Coturnix japonica: one gene and its partners. The protein of the gene in region 1 purifies or fractionates together with the protein of each later gene. This does not show direct contact. Links are inferred from orthologs where the notes say so. Each region holds a gene or a part of one and is shown on either strand. Other genes may lie near its edges. The genes, in order: PNN, PRPF4B and NCBP3.

What was found.
Region 2: the proteins of PNN (region 1) and PRPF4B purify together in Homo sapiens (affinity purification with mass spectrometry; 5 studies listed by BioGRID and IntAct, counting the BioPlex papers as one, with this or other methods). This does not show direct contact. The link is inferred for Coturnix japonica from reciprocal best matches to the Homo sapiens genes PNN and PRP4K.
Region 3: the proteins of PNN (region 1) and NCBP3 purify together in Homo sapiens (co-immunoprecipitation; 3 studies listed by BioGRID and IntAct, counting the BioPlex papers as one, with this or other methods). This does not show direct contact. The link is inferred for Coturnix japonica from reciprocal best matches to the Homo sapiens genes PNN and NCBP3.

Annotation. Positions count from the first base shown.
Region 1 is NC_029520.1:34,113,770-34,117,781, reverse strand, and holds the start of PNN (pinin), read right to left. Parts: upstream 2,807-4,012; 5' UTR 2,706-2,806; coding exon 2,593-2,705; intron 2,447-2,592; coding exon 2,375-2,446; intron 1,632-2,374; coding exon 1,563-1,631; intron 461-1,562; exon of another isoform or gene 250-460; coding exon 177-249; exon of another isoform or gene 157-176; intron 97-156; coding exon 2-96; intron 1-1. Other genes in the region: TRAPPC6B (trafficking protein particle complex subunit 6B), read left to right, coding at 3,749-3,829, 3,916-3,983. UniProt on the Homo sapiens protein: Transcriptional activator binding to the E-box 1 core sequence of the E-cadherin promoter gene; the core-binding sequence is 5'CAGGTG-3'. Capable of reversing CTBP1-mediated transcription repression.
Region 2 is NC_029517.1:63,504,310-63,508,650, reverse strand, and holds the start of PRPF4B (serine/threonine-protein kinase PRP4 homolog), read right to left. Parts: upstream 2,828-4,341; 5' UTR 2,733-2,827; coding exon 2,695-2,732; intron 486-2,694; coding exon 1-485. UniProt on the Homo sapiens protein: Serine/threonine kinase involved in spliceosomal assembly as well as mitosis and signaling regulation. Connects chromatin mediated regulation of transcription and pre-mRNA splicing.
Region 3 is NC_029534.1:3,961,735-3,965,277, forward strand, and holds part of NCBP3 (nuclear cap-binding protein subunit 3), read right to left. Parts: intron 2,749-3,543; coding exon 2,675-2,748; intron 1,736-2,674; coding exon 1,627-1,735; intron 885-1,626; coding exon 785-884; intron 467-784; coding exon 360-466; intron 1-359. UniProt on the Homo sapiens protein: Associates with NCBP1/CBP80 to form an alternative cap-binding complex (CBC) which plays a key role in mRNA export. NCBP3 serves as adapter protein linking the capped RNAs (m7GpppG-capped RNA) to NCBP1/CBP80.

The DNA of each region.
Region 1 (4,012 bases):
CCTTTGTTTTCCTTTCTCATCCATATTTTGATCTTGTATAAGGTCTCGACGTGTTCGCTCTTTGGAGGTAGCAACAACAGAAGATGGTAATGCTGGCTACAACGGAGAAATACAAACAACTCAGTTCATGTAAACGTTTTCTTTTTTCCTGCACAGCTCCCTTTGTTGTGAGTTACCTTTTTAATATCATCATCCTCTCCGTCACTTTCTTGGCGTGATTCTCTTCTGGTCCGACGCTCTCCACCCAGCCTGAGGAATAAAAAGCATTACTGGCCACTGGAGAACATGCATTAACAACAGCATCTACACAAGTCAGCATATATAGTCATCAGAATCAACAATCCCCATAAACCGTTGATCAGAAGAGTGGCAAGAGATAAATTTTTTAATGTAGCAGGTGAGAAAAGTGATTTAAGTTTTAATATAACTTTGGTATTAAAGTAAAAATGATGAACCCACATTACTGCACTATTTGACTTTTTAGCACAGCTTTGGATTTTGTTTCATTTGAGCTTTTCTTTTTCCAGAGTATCTAAAACGTTTATTTGGGTAAGAGAAATATGAGTTTGATTTAGAAGCATCAAGGCATCATAGAATTACTCAGGTTGGAAAAGACCTCAAAGATCATCAAGTCCAGCCTCAGCCTATTCATAGTACCCTAACTCTAAGATATGGAGATTAAGATTTTCTCAAATTCAAGAAGCTATTGAGGTTACCTAGGCAAATACCTGAAAATCAGTTAAGGACAGACAAAGCAATTAGCAGGGACCTGAGCCCTTGGATAACCTGAGGTTTTTAACACATAACAGCTCAGTAATGTATTAAACTTATTCTCAGCTTTTGCTCTGGGGCATAGCAGTTTGCTGCCAGTAAAGCATTTCACAATATATATTTTGTATAAATCAAAAATTCAAAAGCAAGTATTGCTTTTGTCAAGATTTACCACTGCATGTTAAGTACTCAGAAAAATGCAGCTCCCTATGGCCAAAGCCACATCTGATGGATCTGCATCCAGTTGGGAAAGCCTCCAATTTCTGCACAAACTGTCACACAGGAGGTATTAAGATTAATGAAAGGGAAATCCCAGTCACGATTTGTGTCTACTGTTAAACAAGTCTGGGCTAATATTGCAGTCTGCTGTATTAAATTCTGCATAAGTTTTCTGCTTTGCTTAGCATAAGTTTTTTAATCAGGCTTTTAGAATTTGGCATCTAACGCTGTAACTATATTCAGAAAATTGAAGAATACACTACAGCCTGCATCAAATACGCCCACAAAGTTAAAGGAGGAGCTTCGTGCAGAATGGATGAGGAACAAGAAATTCCCTCCCTAAAGGATGAAAAGTGCTCTTCACTACAGCACTTGCTACAGATTTCAACACCTTTGAGTTTTCTGCCCTTCATAAATATACAGAATTATTTAATTCCCCATATGGTTCTCTCCCCCATGATTCCACAGGCAACATAAGCCCTTGAAAGAAAGAAAGAATTATACATTTAAGTATCTCCACTGTGCAAGAATCACAGTAAAAGCAGGGTCTCCACATCCATCTTTCCACCCACCTGCTGGATGCCCCTTCAATATCCCTCTGTTTGGCTGGGGGTCCTCCTCCGCTATCCGAGAATCCACGCCTGAAAGGAAACCACTCGTGATCTCTGAACAAGGCACACTTTTTACTCAATTCTATACTCATTCAACGTTACTGCAGTAATAATGTATTTAAATGCACTGTTTGTGAATCAACCCATTTAAAGTTATTCAGAGGAGCTGCTGCACTCAAGCTACCTCAGTAGGTTCAAGAAGTTTCATTTTCTTAAGTGTTAAGGCCTCAGCAACAATTTGATATTGAAATTTAAAAGAATTAAAGAAACGTCCCATGTACTCAGGTAAGAAGAAACTACTGAACATGAGTCTGTTCTTGATTCTGGCTCTACCATGGAGCTGAGAAATAAAAGAGGGCAGAAAAGGTAAATTCACAAAGGAAATCCCCCTATGTGAGTTTTATGAATCCCGGTGACTTCCATTCTTTCTACTCTCCTTTGAAACACCACCAGTTTCTTAATTACCAAGACAGTGATTTTGCACCACTTCAAAGGAAGGAGGCCCAGGACACCAGAGCGCACCTCCCTTCATTCTGGAGGTCCTCCTTAACTTTAAGGCTAACAGCTGGAATCGCACCAAAAGGCACCAAGATCAAACCGGGCACTGCAGGCACCGCTATGGACCCCCGGGCGCTCCCGCAGGCCTCCCACTTGACTGCGTTGTTCCAGCTCCCGATCCCTTACGGTGAACACACGGATCAAAGCCGGCACACAGAACGCGCAAAGATAACAACCCGGAGTCGCGATAAAGCAGCAGAGCCGCATGTCCTTACCTCAGCAGTAAGCTCCCTCGCCCCCTACCTCCACCAGGGCCTGAGAGGGCCAGCAGTCTGTTCTGCGGGGGCCTGTGAACACAGCACATCGCTCAGCGGCACCGCCCGGCCCATCGCCGCCCTCCCACCCCCCGCGGGGCCGCAACCCGACGGCCCGGGGTGGCGCCGGGGGTGCGGGGGCGGCCTCCTCGAGTGGAGCCCGGTAAGCCGGCCCTCACCTCACATCGTTGGGGTCCCGGCCCGTGAGCTTGCGGATATTCTCATCCACGTGTTTCAGGCTCTCCTTGGCCTTCTCCAGCTGCTCCTGCAGCGCACGCACCGCCACCGCCATCCCGCGCGGCCTAGCCGGGCACGGCGCGAGGCACCGCTGGGTAACGGCGGGACAGGCCCCGCCCGGCAGCCAACACTCGGCTCCGCGAGGGAACGGACGGCGCAGCCAATAGCCCCGCGGCGGGTAACGCCGACAGCCAATAGGCGAGCTGCAAGAGAGAGGGTACGCCCCCGTGGGAAGAATCTCTGCACTCGGCCACCAATCACAAAGCTCAGAGACAGACTGACATCTTTCTTAGCCAATCACCGAGAGCCGCTGCCTGCCAGCTCTGCGAATCACAAAGCGGGAGGGCCAGAGCGACGTCTCTCGTGGCTAACGAGAAGTTACTTCGTCGCTTTGCTGCGGTGGGAGCCAATCACCTTCGAGCTACCACAGCCTCTGTGCCTGACGGACCAATCAGGAGGGGCGTTACAGCGGGCAGCCGCGTTGTACGCTCCCGCGCGGCGTAACGTGATCCCGTGTAACGGGGCAGCACGCGGGGCGCTGCGCTGCGCTGTACTGTACTGTACTGTACTGTGCTGTGTTCGCCCTCCGCTGCCCGCCGTTCTCACTGCACACGGTGCCGTTTTGGCTGCGGCCGCTCAGGCTGCACCCCGCCGGTTTCTCATAGTCTCACAGTCTCGTGCGGGTTGGAAGGGACCTTAGAGATCATCGAGTCCAACCCCCGGGATTCGAGCCTCTGTGTAGCAGAGCGGCACTTCTATCACTTGCGCCACAGGGGGGATTCGAACCCCGGGCCCCAGTGTTGCAAGGCGGCGTCTTTAACCACTGCGCCACCGGGGCACACACCGGTTGCCATCTTACAGAGGCAGAAAATGGGGGTTGAACATAAAGTGCCGCTTTGAAGGCGATGTAAAACAAACACACCGCACATCAGCGCTCTCCCCGCTCTCATACCCGCCCCAGAATCACTCCGCCTCTCCCAGTCCCGGCCCCGAGCCCTCCCGCTCCCGGAAGGGGCGGTGCAGCGCAGCGCAGCGGCTCCCGTTGGCTGCGGGCCGTTGCCGTGACGGCGGGCGGGGGCCGCCCGTAGGGGAGCGGCCATGGCGGACGAGGCGCTGTTCCTGCTGCTGCACAACGAGATGGTGGCGGGGCTGTACCGCGCCGCCGAGCAAGGCGAAGGGGTGAGTGGGGCCGCTGCCCGCCCCAGAGGCCGTCAGGCGGCGGCCGGCCCCGAGGCTGAGGCGGCGGCCGCCCTTGTGTCTTGCAGGAGAACGGCCGCTGCACCACCAAACTGGAGAGCATGGGATTCCGCGTCGGGCAGGGACTGATCGAGAGGTGGGTGTGTAGTTCTGTAATTGGCACGA
Region 2 (4,341 bases), on another chromosome or scaffold:
TTTCCACAGGTTCTAATTTCCCCTTAGTGTTTGACTTAGCCGCGGGTCTGGTTCCATTTCGCGCCTTTTCATTAATTTCCCCCTCTTCTTCAGATCCCGACTCATAACCTTGTAATATTAATCCCATACCGGACTGGACTTTGCCTTCCATTAACTCATTTTCAAGTTCAGCTTTCAATAAAGCCCTTTGTTTCTCCAAATCTTCCAGAGGAGCTAAAAAATCAATTTTAGTTCTTTTTGCTGGTCCATCTTCCTTGTCGGAGGTATCGGCTACCTCTTTCCGTTTATGTTTCTTATGTTTGTGTCTGTGTTTATGTTTTTTGTCCTTATCTTCCTCTGAAGAATGTTTATGTTTCTTGTGTTTACTTCGGTGTTTGTGTTTCTTTTTTTTGTGCCGGCTGTGCTTGTTCTGAGGTTGATCTGCTTCTGACACTTCCCCATTCTCTTCATTTGTACTCTTCTCAGATGCGTTAGCATCCTCAGCCCTGCAAAAGAGATAAAAACTACCCATCAGTATCAGCAATTCACAGCAGCCCTTAAATTCAGGTTAGTTTGATGGCCTCTTTTGTGATAGAAGCTAACTGGTATTTAATTATCTGCTTTTGGAGAATTAGAAATGCACAAGCAACGTAATGAAGTTGTAAGAGTGGGTGTAGTTTGGCACAGACAGACAGCTATGACTGCAAAAAAGAACTACTAGCTTATGAAGATGGAGCAAATACATCAACAAAACAAATCACGCAGGTGAAACCAATGCTTCAGGTTATGGTTCAGCACTGCCAGTATTTGGTAATAGCATACAACAGTATTGCGCACTTATACCTCCCGTTAGTCCGCTATCTGTCTTATTTACTGCTCAATTCCTATGCCAAACCCAAGCCATGTCCTCTACAAGTACTTTCAAAAGATAGAGAGCAGTTGTCCCCCAGAGATCAAAACTTATTTCAAGGGATGATTCTGACCCCCTAAGTAAACCATCCCACGCAGTCTCACGCACAGCAGGCTGACTCTCTTAATTATCATTCCTATCTGTGTGTACACTTGTTAAGACAACATTATCCTGCATTTATATATGCAGAAACAGTATAAATTAAGAACAACTAATTTCGGAAAAGCTTTCCAATAGAATCCAGAAGCCTGTGAGCTTCCTGAGGGAAAAAACAATTGTTCTCTTTAGATCTGTAAAATGGCATTGGACAAAAACAAAGAGAAAATGAAATCAATTACCAGCTACAGCGAGATGAATATCTGCCTTTTAAAATCTGCAGCCAAATCACCTCCTAGATGCCAGTAATGCCTTTCTGCAAACTCAGCCCACCTGCACTAGTTTTGGAACTCGCTCTGGTATCTTAAATACCGCTTCATCCCCAGCCTTGTTCACTGAGGGGAAGTTCACGGGGTGTGATGGTCACAGCGGTGGTGAGATGCACACAGAAATGTAGAGATACCCTCACAACACCGCTAGCTTCATCCTGCAGAGGTCTCTGAAGGATACGACCAATGATCCATTGTCATAGTCGTATCAGAATTATTCTTTACCAAATAAAGGATGAAACCACACTACGAATTCAATTAGCGTCCTCCTCATTAAGGATCCTCAAGCAGTACAGTTAATAATTATCTCCTATGTGAGCTCTTGAGAATCCTCCTTCTGACAGCATTAAATCACAGAATGGCTTATGCTGGAAGGGACCTTAAAGCCCACCCGGCCCCAACCCCCTGCTGCGGGCAGGGCTGCCACCCGCCAGATGAAATAGTTCAGAGCTACTCCATGCTCAGGCACTGATTTATTTCACGTAACTCTATCCAAACACAGACAAACTTTTAATTCGTTTAACTGCTCCGTAGCCGTGATTACATGGAAGAGAAATCTTGTAAGCGAATTTCAGAAGGTGATGAGGCCACGAGGTACCCACACGCTTCTGTAGCAGGAGTTATGACATCTGTGTGAGAGCCCTAACTTTCCTTAATGTTTTGAGATTTAAGGCAAGGATCTACATAAGTTTAGGAAGATTTGCAGAGATTTTACCTATTCACTCCCTACCTTCGGGCTTTCTATGCAAATCGTTACTTTATTCTCTTTATTTACGGATCCCGAGCGATGCCGAGGAGCCCGAAGTCACAGAATCACAGAATGCCCCGGGTTGGAAGGGACCTCAAGGATCATGTAGTTCCAACCCCCCTGCCTAGCAGGACAAGTCGGAGCCCGAATGCAGCGCGCAGCCCCCCGGAAGGAGGGGCCGGCAGCGACAAATCGCTTCTTGCTCCCAGCGACGCCTTCACTCTTCGTACCGCGAGAACCCGCGGCTCGTGGCGCTGGGCTCGGCAGCCTCAGCAGCGGAGCGGCCCGGCCGGGCCCAGCGGGGCGGGAGGCACACGCCACCGGAACACGCGCCGCTCCCGGCGCTGCTTCCCCTCCCCCGCCCCGCCGTCCATCGGCCGAGCGGCCTCACCCCGCTCCCCGCAGCACACCGGGCCGCGAACGGCTCCTGCAACCGCGTTCGCAGCCCTGTCCGCGGAGCGGCTGCCCGCCGCCCTTTCCTTCCCTCCTTCCCTCCTTCCCCACGCCGCCTCCGGCCCAGCCACCCCGCTACCCGCCGCCCCTTCTCGGCGCTGGGGCCGCTCTCCGCCTCCCCCCACCCCGAGTTGCCGCTTCGAGCTGCCGCCCCGCCTGCCCTCCCGCCCGTCCCTTACTCAGTCGCTCGCTGTTCAGGCTCCGCCGCGGCGGCCATTTTGAACTTCCAAACTCCTTCGCTGCCGCTGGGGAGACGCGGGGCCGCGGCGCAGGCGCAGCCGAGCGGCCGGGAGGGGTTGGGGGATGGCGGGGGGGCGGCAGCCGGAAGCGAACCCAGAGCGCGGGGCGGGATGAGAACCGACGGCACCGCCCTCTGGCCCGGGGAGCGCGGGCGGCCGTAGGGAACGAATAGGGAGAGGGGCTGCGCTGGTGCTGCTCCGTTGGCTGTGGTTAAGACGGCTTGGAGGGGACTCTAAATATTCTAATGCTGGTTTGCACACCGGCACCGCCTGAAGATGAATGAATTTAATTGCGAACGCCGTCTGCGAAGGCGCTGCTACCCCGCTGTGTCTGAGGGCTCCCGACCCACGTTGCTGGCCCGGTACAAGCGTTGCTTGCTCCAACATCAGAAGCAAGATCATAGCACACCTGGTGCTATACTCAAAGTCAGGCTGGACGGGGCTTTGAGCAACCTGATGTACTGCAGGTGTCTCTGTTCATTGCAGGGTGTTGGACTAGATGGCCTGCAAGGATCCCTTCCAATTCAAATGGCTCTATGATTCTGTGTCAGACATCAGTCAGTCCTAGCGTGGACCGAGATGAAAGCATGTCGTATAGCATAAGAGATGAAGTTAACCAAGAAAATAAAGAAGATGTATGTCTTGTTGCCACTGTTGATGTCGGATGCTGTGATATGAGCCTGGGGAGTCAGAGCACTAATTCACCTGGCCCTCGCTCTTGTGAAGCCATGAATTCATGTTCAGAGAAGAAACAGAGTGGTTTCAGCTTGAGGAGCCCCAGCCTGCAGCATCTGCTTCTCTTTCAAACTCCGTGGGCTTGAACAAAAGAACAAAGGTGAAGAAGCAACCCAGGCTATTACACCTTTAAGCCTGTGTCATGTTTCCAGCGTTAGATCTCAGACTATGGTTTGTCTCCTAAAGCTAAACTGAAGGCTGAAAGTTGCAAAAATCAGAAGGAAGCTAGATGTAATGGTAGATGGTTAACTCATCCCATGAAGGATGTCTGCACCTTAAAGCTGGGTTCTGAAAGAGCCTAAATCCTGGGAAGGTGCTGTGATGTGGATTGAACTGGGTCCTAATGGAAAGTCTGTAAAACTTACCCAAGCAGATGCAAGTAACTTAGCAGGGCTTCCTCCATGGAGGTGTTTTCTGTCATCAAATGCCTGGAAATGGCACAAGAATTCCTCCAGGGGAAACTTCACCTCCTTTGGTGCAAGAAGGATTCATCACCGCTTGAGAATGAGCAGGTGAGATTTTGCTTTTCCGTGAGCAGATTTGCCCGTGTAAAACCATGAGTTTAGTGCTTGCCTTGAACTTGCTGATTAATCTCTTGAAAAATCTGCTTGCAGGGGTAACTGAATGTTTTTCTGCTTACATGGTTGGTGTTACAGATGATCTGCAGTGACTGTTATGGCTAATAGAGACCATAGAATCATTACTAAGATTAACTTGTCCATCTATTGTGCCTGCTGACCTGTATTCCTTAGCGATACATCTATGGTTTATTAAGCGCCTCTAGGGATAGTGACTCTGCCACATCCCTGGGCAGCCTGTTTCAGTACCTATTTAGATGTTTCCTAATATCCA
Region 3 (3,543 bases), on another chromosome or scaffold:
GTTCAAGGCTAAAAAGAGAATACTTTGCCAAAATTCTAAGTGGAATCTGTCCTACAGAGTAATCTAAGAGGGAGAAAATCACTACAGGAGAAGAAAGCCCGTAGTGTTCCACTACCTCAGAATACTGCTCAAGCATGTAGCTGGACTCAAGGTATAAGGTATGACTGCCTCTTGCTGCAGGGGCAGTTCATACTGAACTAAACGTAACAATTCCTATCATCTTGCACAGCTTAATGTGACACCTGTTGGCTTATGAGAATCTTCTCAACTCCTGTAAGTAGTAATGCCAAAAATAATGCATCCAGCCCTCCACTCCCCCAGTTACACTTGCACAGCTTTGACACACTGTCAGCAATTACCAGAGTGCCGATGTTTGTAAGGAGGAGTCAGGCCAACATCATCCCCAATAAGCGTCCTTTTCTTTATCACATCCCGATGGATTCGACGTGAATGGTATCTCCGTTTCCTGAAACACCATAAGAAGAATGACATTCCTATCAAAAAGAAACGAGCTGTAACCAATCCTGGATTAAGCATGTGCAATTCTCACTCACTTCATAACAGACATTTATGCCTGAGAACTGTTCTGCATGTGTGTACTGAAAACTTTCTACCATCACAACAAAATATTCCCCTAGCAAATACATCATCGCTTTGCAGAAACATTATTCACACTTCAGATATATCTACAGAAACTAAAAGGAAAAAAAGATCAAGTCACAACAGCTTTGAACCACCTTGTCTGAGTATCTGCAGCCTCCCAATTCCTCCATCCCACACTCACCAAGAGTTACTAAGAATCCCCTTCATGCCTCCATAATTGGGATTGCCATATTTCATGTAATACTGGCTTCTCCTTGCAGCTCCCAGTTCTTTTTTGTCATCTGAAAAAAATATATGTTAAAAGAATATTTCTTTTCCTCTTTGAATTTACCTCACTAGCATCCAGTCAGACACAGAGAGAGAAAGGAAGACTGAGTTATCTCCTTACAGGTCCGTGGTATTTCAATTTCCTTCCCAAATGATACAATTTTGATGACACCTCAACTGAAATTTCTCCTACCACCACAGTTTTATTTGTGCCCAATTCCATGGAGACTCTGAGTTTCTGCATGTCAGCTTAAGGGAGCATTACACCCCAGTGCAACTGCTGGAGGCCACACTCACCTTATTCCTGACCTTTCTTTTCTTTATGGATCTGCCACCTTCCACATGGCTCAGTAATTACGTGCATTTTCATTTTATTCAAAAATACAATTTAATAACTCAGCTGCATTAAGTGACAATTTCCATCAGTACCTCATAAACATCACAACTGATTTTCAAGTTTATAACATGAAATTCACCTCTGTGGAGAAGTACACCATAAAACCTATTCTATGGTATTGGGAAGGAAGAATGCCCTAAACCCAAGATAATATTTTATGTACAATAATCTCCATAGAGCACGAACTGGATTTAATTCAAACTGAATGTGTATTCATAGCAAAATCTTAATACCTAATAATTAGCAAAAAACCTAACAGTTATGCAAATAAAAATTAGGTGCTTCAAGTAATTAATCAGTCAACAAATAAAACTGCAACAAGCAATCAATTCATTATGCTTGTTAAGCTGTTCATTTACCTTTAGTAGCAAATCTCATGAATAGCTTGTTTCCTTTAGCCAGTTTATTGGCAGGGCGAAGATCATTACGCAGGAGAGAATCCTCTTCTACCTGGGTGAGGGCATCCAACTTTGGGGGCAAAAAAGGTATTTTGGACTCAAAAATAAAATTACTTTTGAATGAAAATGGATTGCTCGCAGAGAAGCAATCCCTTGGTTATTAAATTACTTTCCATGTTCTGTTCAGACTAACTCCACTTCTTTCTTGACAAGTTATCACGTATTTTAAACTTTTTCTTGCCAAAAGGTTTAAAATATTTTTGTCTCTTCCTCCCTAACACTTGTTCTGATTATTAAATCAGTTCTCAAATGAAGCTGCAGTATGACTGCAATGAAGAAAATAAATAAACTCGGACACTGAAAAAGAAAGACTTGATTGCTTTTGTTTGTTTCATCTACAAATGGTTTCACCAATGGGGTCTCTGCCTTCACACAGTGACTTACAGGCATTATTGTTATTATTACTATTTATTTATAACTGCTTTCCATAAGCCAAAATTCAGATTTCCATAATCTGGGTGAATGTTTGCTGAGCCATCCCTAAAGAAAATACTAATGGCACCCATTATATAAATTCAACCAGTGAAGATTAAACTACTTACAAAACATCAGTGTGTTTGCTGACGCCCACACAAATCTATGGGCAGCCTAAGTCCCCTTTTTTTCCCTACTTTATACACTGTTTTCTATACTGAAAGGAAACTGCCTTCCACTATTGTTTTTTCATTATCTCCTTTAACAGGCAGGCAGGCAGTCTAGATAGAGCAGGCAGCCTAGCTCTTACATGCTGACTGCCCTATTAGTCTTCAAAAATTACTTTCACAAAGCATTTTTATGAGGCTATTCTCACCAGCAGAACATCTGCACTTCCTGCCTTTTTCTCCACCTTATTTCCTTCAATAATTAAACTGTAAATTATGAGCATGTATGGTAAAAACTATAATGTCACGAATACATCAGTGAGAGCAAAATGTCCATAATGGGGTTTTCATTTTCTTTCTATACTGACCTCAATGTCACTTGGATTTTCATCCTCAACCTCGCCTTCTTCTGTCTCATCATCAGTACTTTCCTCCTGTTTTTCTAAAGAAGAAAATAATTGGGAAAAGAAATCTACATTTTAATGTTCCAGTTCATTTGAATATTAGTATCTAAAGTCTCTGAAATCAAACTGAAGGGGTTTATCAATTCCTCTGTGCAGCCTAGAGAGTAATCAAAACAGTGAATGTCTACAGAAATCTGAAGCACACATGAGCACAGAATAACATTAACCAGACAGCCCCCATACAGGTAAGTGCCGGAGGCAGCGTGCACGGATTATCAATTTACTTATCTGAAAGCAAATGAAACTGCACTGCAATTTCAAAGTATGACAGAGATCAGCAAAGACAAGACTGCAAAACGTGGATCAAAGCCTGTTTCCTTCCACCTCCCTTCTAAATGCTGCAAGTACCTACAGGTATCCAGTACTCACAATGTGAAGCAGGTTACTACTCAAAGTAGGGAGGGCAGTGACTCAGTTCTGAAGTGAAATAGCTAACAGAGGAGCACACACTTCCCAAACTACATATACTATGTGTTGTCTAAATAGGTTTTTCAGGTTTTCTTTTGTTTGGTTTTCTTTTGGCTCACAGAAGAAAATTATTACGGAAATTGTTTTTGAGCCTCCCAAAAAGACACATGACTAAAAAACCCACCTCTATATTTCACAGTTCCTTCTCTTAAATCTCCTCTGACTGAACTTGACAACTTCTAATAGAGAACCACAGCTATTAAAACTTGACAACTACACCCAAGTTCAAGGGAAAAACTAAAGCACAATGAATCAATCTGATCCCAAAAAGAACTTCAGGAGACAAATTAGCCAAAATCAAACAT